Linked DNA regions of Oryctolagus cuniculus. The protein of the gene in region 3 purifies or fractionates together with the protein of the main gene of each other region. This does not show direct contact. Links are inferred from orthologs where the notes say so. Each region holds a gene or a part of one and is shown on either strand. Other genes may lie near its edges.

Region 1 (4,220 bases), on a different chromosome or scaffold from region 3:
CTCCCTGCTGGTGGCCTGGAGGGCAGTGGAAAAAGGCCTTAGTGCTTGGGCCCCTGCACCCACACGGGAGACCCGGAAGAAGCTCCTGGCTCCTGGCTTTAGATCAGCCCAGCTCTGGCCATTATGGCCATTTGGGGAATGAACCAGCAAATGGAAGACCTGTCTTTCCCTCTCTCTGTCTGTAACTCTACTTCTCAAATAAATAAATAAATCTTTAAAAGCTCCCTTATGCGTCTAGGGATGGACTTGATGCAATGAGTCTGCAGGTTCCAGGCTGTGGATATATGGATAAACAGACGCCCTGCTGGCCTGCCTCTGGGCCCACACTGGGAGGTGACGGCCTCTAGGTGCCCTCCAGGCTCCCAAGCTCTGCTTCCTCCAGGGGTCCTGAGTGAGACTGCAACTGGCCAATCCATGATCACCTGCTCTGAATTGGGCACTGTGCCAGGCTCTGGAAGGGTCTGGTCTGGCCCCTGCCGCTTCCGCTCTCTGGGCCCCGGCTTCCTTCTCTGTAATGGGGGAGGTGAGAACTCAGAAAGGACAAGTAGGGGCTGAAGGGCGCCAGGTGCGAGGTGAGCCCTAGGGTCCCCTCCCATTGGCAGCCACTTTGGCCCGCCTGGCTGTTCCCTCTCTCCCTCCCCCTTGCCGCCCCTCCCACGGCCCCCTTCTCCAGGGCAGAGCACCTAGGAACCAGTTGCTCCTCCTCACCCCCCCCCCCAGGCCCTACCCTTCCCAGCTCCTCCCACTGGACACAAAACCCCAGGTCTGAACTAAGGAAACGGTTTTAATAATAACTGAAAAAACAAAACAACGTCCCCACGCCAGTTCCTCGTTCGTGTAGGTTACCCTGGGCCAAAACTCCAGCGTCAGTCCTCACGGTTACCCGGGGGGGGGGGAGGGGGGAGGATGCCGGCGGACGTGATAGAACTCAGTTCTGTCTGCAAGGGAGAAAACTGAGGCTGAGGGAGGTTAAGCAGCGGCACCAGGAAGCAATGGCTTCCGGATGACGCACCCTCCTAACCCATTCTTTCATTTCGCTCTCTGTGGGGGGTGGGGGTGTGGGGAGGTGGTACGGGTCTCCCGGGGCCCTGAACGGGGTTTCAGCCCAAAGCCCCCCCCCCCCCCCCCCCGCGTCCCGGAACTCCGGGGTCCTGCTACCCCTTCTGCAGGGTTTGCTGCGAAGACCAGTGGCCCAGAGCAAGTGACTGGATTTTAAACACGTGGCCACCACCCCAGGGCTCCTGTATCCAGCCCTCCGGGAAAGGCTAGCAGGTGCAGGGCGGGGGTGAGCTCGTTGCGAGGGTAGATAGGGATGAGCCCAGGGCCGGGGCGGGGCCTGGGGCGGGGCCAAGACTGGAGTCTGGCGGGGCGGGACTGTGACTGGGCGGGGCCGGGAACCGCGGCGGGGCGGGACGAGGCGGGACGGGAATGGTCCCTGGGGCCGCCGAGGGCGGGAGTAAAAGCAGCGGGAGGAGGCAGAGAGGAGGGGGGACCCAGCAGCTCCCGCTCGGCGCCGGGCCGCTCCGTATACCCACGCCTCGCTGCTCCGCTTCTTGCTCCCCACCCGGGCATGCGCCCCCCGCGGCCCCGGCCCCGCAGAGTCCGCGCCGCCCCCCGGAGACTCCTCAGATCCGGCTGCGCACGATGGGCGCCCTCCGCCCCACGCCGCCGCCGCGGTTGCTGCAGTTGCTGCTGCTAACGCTGGGTAAGCCCGGCCCCCGCCCCGGCCCCGCTGTCTCCCCCGCCTTTCTGAACTCCTCGCAGCCCCCTTCTGCCTCAAGGGTGTCTCCAGCCTCCCCGGGCTCGGCGCCCCGCTGCTCTAGGTGAGAGCGGTATGGCCGAGTCTGTATGGGGAGAGGCAGGGCTCCCCAGCTCCAGGCCTGGGAACTGGGGCACCCCGGATCTCAGGGAGGCAGCCCCGCTTCTCAGCCCGCATATTTAGATCCTGGGGTCGCCGCAAACGAAGTGCTGCAGGTCCCTTCTGCCCCCCACTCAGTCCCAGGCCTGGCCTTGGGTGTCTGCCCTGCGTGGGCAGTGCCTGCCCGTCTTCGTAATTGCATCAGAGTTGGCTAGAGGCCCAGGAGCCGCTTCTGCCCACAATCTTTGAAGTTGCTGTTCCCTAATTGCCCCCCATACACTTTATCTGAGGTTGGGGGCGGTTTCTACTCTCAGCCCCATCTCCACCCTGGGCCGGGTCCCTCCTTGCCGGTCTTCAGCGCTCCCGGATGGCACTGTGCCCTGCGACCCCCACTGGTCGGCACACCCCTTGAGTGACTGCTTCCCTGCCTCATGAGACGCTAAGCTCCATGGAGACTGATTCTGCGAGCTCCAAGCAACTTGTCCACAGTCTGGGTGTTTATGGGGGCCGTCTGGGGCCGGCCTTGCATGGATGCTCCAGGGTAGTGACAGTGGGATTGGTTGAGGCCTGGAGCGGAGATTCTCTGTTGGAGGTGTGTGGGCAAGAGTGTGGTGGGGAGACAGTACAGCTGCCTGCGTGGCTGCCCAGAAGACCCAAGGCCTGGGAACAGGAGCGCCATGGGTGGGGGAGTTAGAGGAGCCGATTGCAGAGGAGCAGGGTGCAGGGGGAGAGGGTGGTGGCTTGAGAGCTGGGGTAGTCAACGCAGAAGCCCCAGCCACCGCCTGTTTCCAGATAGTGCAGTCTTCCCTTGCCTCACCGCCCTGTGCCCACGGGGCTAGGAGGAGGCCTTTCTTTGGGTCCCTGGCCGGGAAGCAGATGGGTGTAGAGCGAGGAAGGAGCTGGGGGACCTGGTTGCCTAGCACTTGGCTCCTTCTCCCCAGTGGAAAGCATGGGGCAGTGAGGAGCCCAGGGGAGGTGGAGGTGGGGAGGGGGGATGCACAGAGAGGATCTGAGGGCTCACCTGCAGTGAGTGCTGGAGCCAGGATGTGAACCCAGATCCAGTCACCAGGGAGGGGGCTGGCTGGGGAGAGGAGCTGTGTGACAGCTCATTTCCCAAGGCTGGGAGGGTGACTTTCCCATGGGGATCTCCAGGCATCAGCAGCTGTGGAGCCAGGGAGGGCTGAGGGGCCCTTCTGAGCAGAGTCTGCCTCGAGGGAGTAGGCAGGAGTGGGGTGGGGTGGGGGGGAGGTGTCAGCCTGGCTGTCTGGCCTTCATGCTGATTGTATGTGCCCCAAGCGAGGTGCTCCTGAGTCACAGATTCAGGGTGGAAACTGAGACCTGGGAGAGGAAGGGACTGGTCCTGGGCCAGACTTCTGGACCTGGGGCTGCAACCTGACATCCGGACTCCAGGCCTGTGTCCTGCGCCAGCTGACCACGAGTTCTCCCCGTGACAGCCAGAGGAAGAAGGAAGGGGCTGAGAGCATGGCCGTGGGGTAGGGAAGACGAGAGGGCCTTTTGTAGAGGAGCCGGAGGGCTCCCGGACCACGGAGTGCTGGGTATTTCCCTTCAGCCACTGCACAGTGGCACGCCTGGAAGTGACTGATGAGGGCAGTCCCCTCGACCTCGCCTTGGAGTTCCCTCATCTTCCCCCTGGATTGCCCCTCTGCAGGGGTGTGTGGGAGTCATGGGGGTGGGGGGCTGAGGCAGCCCTTCTTACATCCCAGGGTTCTCTGAGCTTATCTAATGGAGGCCATGGAAGGACAGGGGAAGAGAAGGAAGACGCCGAGCCCTCCAGTGCTGCCAGGAGTATATGCTGGGGTGCAGTTGGGCGTGAGGGTAGGGGTAGAATGAAGAAGAGAGGCTTGGTCTCTCCCAGGAGGAATAGAGAGGAGCAGCTGGGAGCTTAGTGCCTCCCTACAGAAAGACAGCCGTAGGTAAATAAGTACAGGCCATATGCAAATAAAAGCTTTTGTTAGGGAGCTGGTGGGGGGCCTTGGGCATCAGCTGGGGTAGCCTAAAGGTTGGCACTGGGGGAGGGGCTTCTGCCCCCTTGCTGGCCTGGGCAGAGCCTGGTTCTTACCCCAGAAGTCCCAGGAGAAGCAGTGAGCTCATGGCACAGCTGGAGGCGGGGGGGGGGGGGGGGAGGGCATTGTGTGACTGGGGCCGTGCCCTGTCCAGCTTGGGCCACTGGCTCCATTGTCTGGCCCAGGTGACGCAGCTGAGCCAGTCAGCTCTTCTGCGCAAGATTCGGCCAGCTCCCCTCCAAGTGGGCTCAGAATCCCTTAGTCAGAAGGCTCTCCTGGCCAGGTCCGGAAGAAGTGGGGTGGAGGGATAGGGTGCAGATAAGGAGGACAGGTGGAGT
Region 2 (4,009 bases), on a different chromosome or scaffold from region 3:
ATTCTTGTGAAAACTTGCAGGACATTAAACGGACTGCTTTTCATGAAGATAAAAGGTCCCCAGTGCGTGCAACTCCTGCAGTTAGGAATTCAACACCAAGTAGGCATTTCCATTCAATGATGGTGACCTGTGGTGGACTCAAACTACACTACTAGAAGGCCCGAGTGTTAAAATTACTCAAGCTAAGGACTTTTCCACGTGGTTATACTTTGTTGCTCGTTTTGGTAGCATATATACAAAGCAGTTAGTCTTTGAGATTAAAAAATAACCTTAAAATACAACTTTACATTCTTAAACAAAAGAAAGTCCACATCACAAACACTTAAAATTGTCGATCTGTGAAGCCAAATTAGGCTAGGAGTTTATTTGCTCTGTCTACACAGTAAGGTATTAACCACATTCCCTATCTTTTAAACTAGCATTTTAATAACATCTTCCCCTTTTATACTCAATTTTTGGCGAAGTAAAATAGCTTTCATCCCAAATGTGTATACCAAAACATCAATGCTTCATTTCTTTCCTATTTATTACTTACCATCCCAAATCATGCATTTAGTATTGAGTAATGAAGCAAAATTACTTAAAAATATGAGCATTATAAAAACCACCAAACAACAAAAAAATAACCGACAACCTACGATTCTATGCACCTAAATATCTATGCGGACTGCTGACCCAGAGACATCTACGTAGCCAACCACACTGGGATGTCAGACTTGACCGCCCAGGAGGGCTGAGCAGCCGGCAAGTGCTCACGTCAGCGTCCCGGCGGCCACGGGCTCAGGACGGAGGTCCGTGGACCCTGGGGTCTTCGCCTCCGTAAAACGGGAGGTGAAAACAGGACCCACGGCTCCCCGCCCTGTCGCAGAACCGGGCGAGATAACCAGAATCCGTTATCGTATTGGCGCGGGCGCCTTTGTTCCACTTCAGAGGAACCAGCAGCGCGGAGCGGGGGTCGCGACTCGAGATCAAGAGCCAGCACCGGGCGAACCGCGCGCGCTCCCGGGCGGCACGAGCACCGGCGCGCGGCGGAGCGGCCCGGCCCTCGCCCAGCGCCCAGACCGGGGTCCTCAAGCCCAGACCGGGGTTCTCACGCCCGCGGCGGAGCGGCCAGACGGGGGTCCTCACGCCCGCGGCGGAGCGGCTCGGCCCTCGCCGAGCGCCCAGACGGGGGTCCTCACGCCCGCGGCGGAGCGGCCCGGCCCTCGCCCAGCGCCCAGACCGGGGTCCTCACGCCCGCGGTGGAGCGGCCCGGCCCTCGCCGAGCGCCCAGACCGGGGGTCCTCACGCCCAGACCGGGGTCCTCACGCCCAGACGGGGGTCCTCACGCCCGCGGCGGAGCGGCCCGGCCCTCGCCCAGTGCCCAGACCGGGGTCCTCACGCCCGCGGCGGAGCGGCCCGGCCCTCGCCCAGTGCCCAGACCGGGGTCCTCACGCCCGCGGCCTCCGCCCCGCACCCCGGCGCCGCGGCGGCTCCTCCCGCTCCCGGGGATCCCGGCCACTCCTCCCGGTTCCTGCGGGCACAGCGTGGCGGGCCCTGGCCCCGGCGACTCCTCCAGGCTCCCAGGGGTCCACCCCGCTCCCGGGGTCCGACAGCAAAGGGCTCGGCCCCCCGACTTCTCCCGACTCCCGAGGGCGACGGGTCCTGGCCCCCCAACTCCTCCCGGCTCCCCGCCCCCAGGGGCAGAGAACCGGGACTCCTCCCAGACGCCCGGGGCCGAAGGCGCTGGACCCCGAGTCCAGCTGCTGCCCGCTCTCGGGCGCTGTGGCCCGGCTCGGCGCTGCTGCCGCAGGACAAGCGCCCGGTGACCAGCACAGCGGCCGGCCGGGCCCTGAGCGAGGACCCCTGGGAGGCCTAGCTCTCCCCGGACGCGGGCGCTGACCCAGCGCTGCCGGAAACGGCCGGCCCCGCGCGGCAGCCACGCCGGCCTCCCAGGCAGAGGGGACGCCGGCCGGGAAGGGCCGCGAGGACGGGCCGGGCGCCGCCGGGCGCGCTGCGCCGCGCGCCGCAGGCCTCACCTTCCCCAGGCGGCGTCCGGGCCTGCGCCTTAGGCTGGGCCTGCTGCTCGGCGTCCCCGCGGCTCGGCGCGGCCTCTCCCGGCTCCGGGCGCGGCGGGCGGCGGCTCCTCCTCCTCCTCCTCCACCTCCTCCGGGCCACCGGGCGGGGTCTCGGCCGCCCCGCGCCGCCTCCCGGCCGGAAGCCCCTCCGCGGCCCCGCCCCGCGGGCCGGGCGCGCGCCCCTCGCTCCGGAAGCGCATTCCTGACGGCCGCGCCTCGGGAGGCGCCCGGACAAAGGGCTCGGCCGGGCGGGGCCGCGCGGGGCCGGGCGCGCGCGGGGCGGCCGGCCGGGGGCCGCGGTGCCTCAGCCCCGTCTCCCGCGCCTGCGGGTCCCGCGCGCCGGTGTCTCGGCCGCCGCTCTGATCCGGTGTAAGAGGAGCCCGCCCGGGGCGTTGGGGGTTGCACAGGGTCCCTGGGGCTCTCTGACCCACGAGCTCCGTGGTCCCGCGCACGGCGACCGCTGGGGACCGGCGTTAATGACCCCGTGACCCTGAAGGGGGCGGTGAACTCCCCGCGCGCGAGGGCCCCCGCGGGATTCACCTGCGCTCGGTTCGCGCCGCCAGGCCGCAGGGTTCCTTCCCTGGGGTGCAGCTCTGCCGGCACACAGAGCGGGTGCTGGAATTCTGGATAACGCTGGATAAGTTACGGTGCAGGGCTCCTGTGGGCCCAGGCTGGAGCGGCGTGGGAGGGCAGCGAGAAGGGGGAAGCGGAGTGTTCTGTAGAGAAGCGGCTCACACAAACACCAGGGGGAGGGCAGGGCCGCCCGTGCTGCTGAGGAGGCGTGCGAGCCACGTCGCAGGTCTTGAACTCAGCACCCGTGCGGGCTTCGCCACCCCAGCTCCCGGGCAGTGTTCTCGTCTGCCCGGTGGTAGACCCTCCTCCTGACCCTTACTGCAGTTCCCGACCCTGCTAGTACCTGCTCTCCAGAAGAGCCTTTGGTCACCTGCCGCTCTCAGTTGCTCGCCCACAAGGGTCTGTGTGATCTCGGTCTCTGCCATTAGAAGAAGGCTTACCTCAGTGAAAGGCACCATGCTGCCTTAGTCAGATGCACTTGCCTTTCCTCAAACACTTGGGTCCCACGGGTTGTCTTTTATCACGTGATTGTGGGAGACCTGCTGGGGTGAGAGCCCTCTGCCTTCTGATGGTTGAGAACTCCTGAGACTCGGGGCAGCACTGTGATGTAGCAGGTAAAGCCCCCACCTGCAGTGCCGGCATCCCATGTGGCCACTGCTCCACTTCCAATCCAGCTCTCTGCTATGGCCTGGGGAAGCAGTAGAAGATGGCCCAAGTCCTTAGGCCCCTGCACCCGCATGGGAGACCTGGAGGAAGCTCCTGGCTCCTGGCTTCGGATCTGCCCAGCTCCAGCTGTTGCAGCCATGTGGGGAGTGAACCAGCAGATGGAAGATATATGTATATGTGTGTGTGTGTGTGTGTGTGTCTTTCTCTCCCCCCCCTTCTGCCTCTCTGTAACTCTGCTATTCAAATAAATAAATAAATTGTTTAAAAAAAAAAAAAAAAGAACACCTGCGACTCAGAATGGATGCCTGCATCTGTGAGAGTGAAAGGGTGAGACGTTCAGACAGACGACACAAGACCAGATTTTCCTGGGGTTGGCCACAGACTGACACCATCCATACCAGATCATTTTTTACATTTTTTTTATCTGTTTCATTTACTGAAAGACATTGAGACAGAAACAGATAATGATCTTCCATCCTCAAATGCTGCAGCAGCCAGGGCTATAGCAGGCAGAAGCCAGGAGTCAGGAACTCTATCTGGGCCTCTCATGTGGGTGGCAGGGACCCAGCTACATGAGTTGTCACCTGCTGCCCCCCCAAAAAATAATGCTCATTAGTAGAAAGCTGGAATCAGAAACAGAGCTGAGACTAGAACCTAGGCACTTAGGGCATGTAGGCAGATCACAAATCACACAATAAGATCACAAATCAAAA
Region 3 (3,510 bases):
CAGAGCAGAAGTCTTTCCCAAGCCCACGTGCCAGGGTCGGCACGGAAACTCCAAAGTCGAGGAAGCACCAAGTGCCCCCGCCCTCTGTCTCACCTGTGTAGAAGCTAGAGTTGTTATTCTTATCTTGCTCGAAGATGCTCTTGGTCTGAGAGTCGAATCGGAGCCATAGCCCAATGGCGAGGACGGCAATGCCGGCAAGCTGCAAGATACACGGGACACAGGCGTTAGTTCTGAGCACCAGCTACCTGGATGCAGGAGGGGAGGCTTCAGGCTTGCCAAGGATTTGGGGATTTCTCAGTCTCTGTTCCTCACAAGGACCTGGCAGCAGCAGGAGTCGGTGTGGAGTGTATGTATGTGTGTGATCAACCCAGTTTCTCTAAGTGTCTGTGCGCTGGCAAGAAACAAGCACCTATTAGCAATATAGCAACAGAGTGACTATCTGACGGGTAATAGAATACTACACAGGTGTCGAGCTGTGGAGTAGCGGGTTGGTTGAGCCGCTGTCTGCAATGACAGCATCCCACATGGGTACTGGTTCGATCCCTGGCTGCTCCACTTCCCATCCAGCTCCCTGCTAATGCACCTGGGAAAGCAGTGGAAAACAGCCCATGTGCTTGGGCCTTTGCACCCATGTGGGAGACCAGAAGAAGCTCTTCACTCCTGGCTTCGGTCTGGCCCAGTCCCGGCTGTTATTGCCATTTGGAGAGGGAACCAGTGGATGGAAGACTTTTCTCTATATATCCCTGCCTCTCTGTAACTCTACCTTTCAAGTAAATAAATAAATGAAAACAAGGAAAAGCTTTAGATAAAAAAAAAAAAATACAGCAGTGACAATGAGTAACTACAGCCACATGCAACATTATGAGAGCATCTCTCAAAGTTACACAAAGAAGCAAGAGCCAGGAGAACACAGTCCAAAATCAGTGTTCTGTGCAGGGCTGCACATATACATACGTATGCAAATATGTGCATGCAAATGATAACGGAAACCAGAGAAAATGATGACCACAAACTCAGTGGTGACTTCTGGGTAGACGGAGGGACAAGCACTCGGGGAAGAGGAGGTAGTGGCAAGGGGCATATCTAGGGTGCTGGTAGTGCTCCCATTGTTTTTTTTTTTTTTTTAAACTAGTTATTTATTTAAGAGGCAGAGACAGAGAAGGTGAGCGAGTTTCCATCATTCCTCAAAGGCCTGCAGCGGCCCCTGGCTTGGGCTGCAACCAGGATTCAGGCCTCCCTGGGAGTGGTGGGAGCCCAATCACTCGAGCTGTCACCACCGCCTCCCATCTGCGTTAGCAGGCAGCTGGAGTTGAGAACAGGGCCAGGTAGCAATGTGGGTACTCCACTATGGAACCACTGGCACAGACACCTGGCCTTGGAGACCGCACTGCTTAGCAAACGACACACCAGGGCCTCCCCTCACTGCCCCTCTCACAAGGCTGAATCCCAGCCTGCACCGCTGAACAGGCCAAGGAGGCGGCCTCCTGCCAAGCCCCACCCCAGCGCCAGCTCCCATTGTCGCCCGTACCAGGGCTTGCCGGGGGAGTGACTCACAGGCCTCCAGCGAAGTGACCGGCTGCACGAATGAGTGGGCGGGCTCCGGGCCAGCGCCTGGTTTCCAAGATTTGCTGACCCCCCTCCACCCGCAAACAGAGGGGCTCTTATGCAGAGCCCAGCTCTCCAGGGACCTTGATTCTCTGCCCCAGGAGCTGGCAACATCCGTGGTGTGCACAGGCCCTCTTTCCTCCTCTCCTGTTCCTCACCGAGTGGCAGTGGGTGAGATGTGCTGGGTGGAGAGAGGAAGTAGAGCCCCCCACCCCCAACTCCTGGGTGGCCACAGCCTTGCCTGCACCTCCAGTGGTGCAGGCTGATTTGTCCCCATCACAGGGGCATTTCCATAGAGTGGCCTACAATTGCTGGCTGAGTGTTTTCCCACCTGGAGTGGCAGGATGGGGCCCTGTCTTCCTCTTGGCCTGCAGCTAACTAATGAAGGAGACTGCCTTCAACGGAGGTGGTGCCAATGGGCCTTAGGAGAACAACATAACCCGAGCAGCGTGAAAGTCAAGAGCATGGCCCCATGGCCCTCTGCACACTCAGCCCCTTCCCAGACCTCTTGGTCCCTGTGTTACAGAAGGCAATGTCCAGCATCACTTAGAACCACACAAGGCCAAGTGCCTGGCAGCTGTAGGCCGAAGAGAACAGTGCACAATGTCAGGCTTGAAGGGGTGGGAATTTTACGGTGAAAATGCACCTGAGGGGCAGCTATTTGGCCGAGCAGTTAAGATGCCTGCATCCCCGGCCGGCGTTATGGTATGGCAGTTTATGCCACCTCCTACAACACCGGCACCACGCATGGGCAAGGGCTGGAGTCCCGGCGGCTCCATTACTGATCCAGCTCCCTGCTAATGCCTGGGAAAGCAGCCAAAGATGACCCAAGTGCTTGGGCCCCTGCCACCCATGTGGGAGACTCAGATGGGAGTTCCAGGGTCCAGGCTTCAGCATGGTCAAGCCCTGGTCATTGGGGCCATTTGGGGAGTAAACCAGTGGATGGATGGAAGATAGAGCTCTCTCTCTCTCTCTCCCTGCCACCCCACCCCCAACTGCCTTTCAAATAAATCAATATTAAAAAAAAAAAAGATGCTTGCATCCCATATCAAAGTGTCTGGTTAGAGTCCCAGCTCTGCTCCTGATTCCAGCTTCCTGCTAATGCAGACCCCAGGAGGCAGTTGGTGATGGCTTAAGGAGTTGGGTCCCTGCTGCCCACATGAAGACCGGACTGGGAACCTGGTCCAGTTCTAGTTGTTGTGTGCATCTGGGGAGTAAACCAGTGGGTGGGAGCACTCTCTCTCTCTCAAAAATAAATGAAAGAGGAAGAGGAAGAGGAAGAGGAGGAGGAGAGTCTGAGAGCTTTGGGTTCAGTGACACACGGGGGCCAGGATTTCTTATCAGTGAGACATGATGAGGTCTCCTGGCCTAATCCATGGGGAAGAAGGAGGAGTCTTTCCCACGCTGGACCCAGCCCAGATGCCCTCATTCAGACTCTGGGTTCTCCGAGTTCCCATGAGCACCACTCTCAGAGCGGGGGAGTGCTTGCGCCCAGCTGGGAGCAGCCCGGGCTAAAAACCTGGGTGTGGCTCAGCCCCACGTGCACACTGAGAGGGTCTTGCCACTGCGGAAGGCAGGATCTGACCTTGCTCCCCTATGGCAGGAAGTGATCCCTTCCCACCCCTGGGGGCTGGAAGGCTCAGGCTGCTGGATCCCAGCGTGTATGACCTGAAAGCTAGGCTGCAGCCCCCAAGGCCGGGGTCCTCAGGCTGGTCTCCACTGGGGTTAGCCCTGAACCCTCTTCCTCTTGTCTTGGTTTTGGAGACAATGCCTAGCGGTGCTCCTCAGGGAGCCTTCTGTTCTGGGCTTGGCGCCAATCAAAGATTTTCCCTCAGCTCATCCCATCCCCCTACGGAGGGAAGCTCCTGCCCCACCCCCATCCCATCCAAAGGACTAAGCAGAGGT

What was found. The genes of interacting proteins can lie anywhere in the genome.
Region 1: the proteins of CD9 (region 3) and IGSF8 purify together in Homo sapiens (affinity purification with mass spectrometry; 5 studies listed by BioGRID and IntAct, counting the BioPlex papers as one, with this or other methods). This does not show direct contact. The link is inferred for Oryctolagus cuniculus from reciprocal best matches to the Homo sapiens genes CD9 and IGSF8.
Region 2: the proteins of CD9 (region 3) and ITGB1 purify together in Homo sapiens (co-immunoprecipitation; 5 studies listed by BioGRID and IntAct, with this or other methods). This does not show direct contact. The link is inferred for Oryctolagus cuniculus from reciprocal best matches to the Homo sapiens genes CD9 and ITGB1.

Annotation. Positions count from the first base shown.
Region 1 is NC_091438.1:38,823,888-38,828,107, forward strand, and holds the start of IGSF8 (immunoglobulin superfamily member 8), read left to right. Parts: upstream 1-1,414; 5' UTR 1,415-1,428; coding exon 1,429-1,705; intron 1,706-4,220. UniProt on the Homo sapiens protein: Member of the immunoglobulin superfamily (IgSF) that links tetraspanin-enriched microdomains to the actin cytoskeleton and plays several important roles in innate and adaptive immunity.
Region 2 is NC_091444.1:108,893,680-108,897,688, reverse strand, and holds the start of ITGB1 (integrin beta-1), read right to left. Parts: upstream 2,807-4,009; 5' UTR 2,598-2,806; intron 2,181-2,597; exon of another isoform or gene 2,019-2,180; intron 1-2,018.
Region 3 is NC_091440.1:103,253,407-103,256,916, forward strand, and holds part of CD9 (CD9 antigen), read right to left. Parts: intron 200-3,510; coding exon 94-199; intron 1-93. UniProt on the Homo sapiens protein: Integral membrane protein associated with integrins, which regulates different processes, such as sperm-egg fusion, platelet activation and aggregation, and cell adhesion.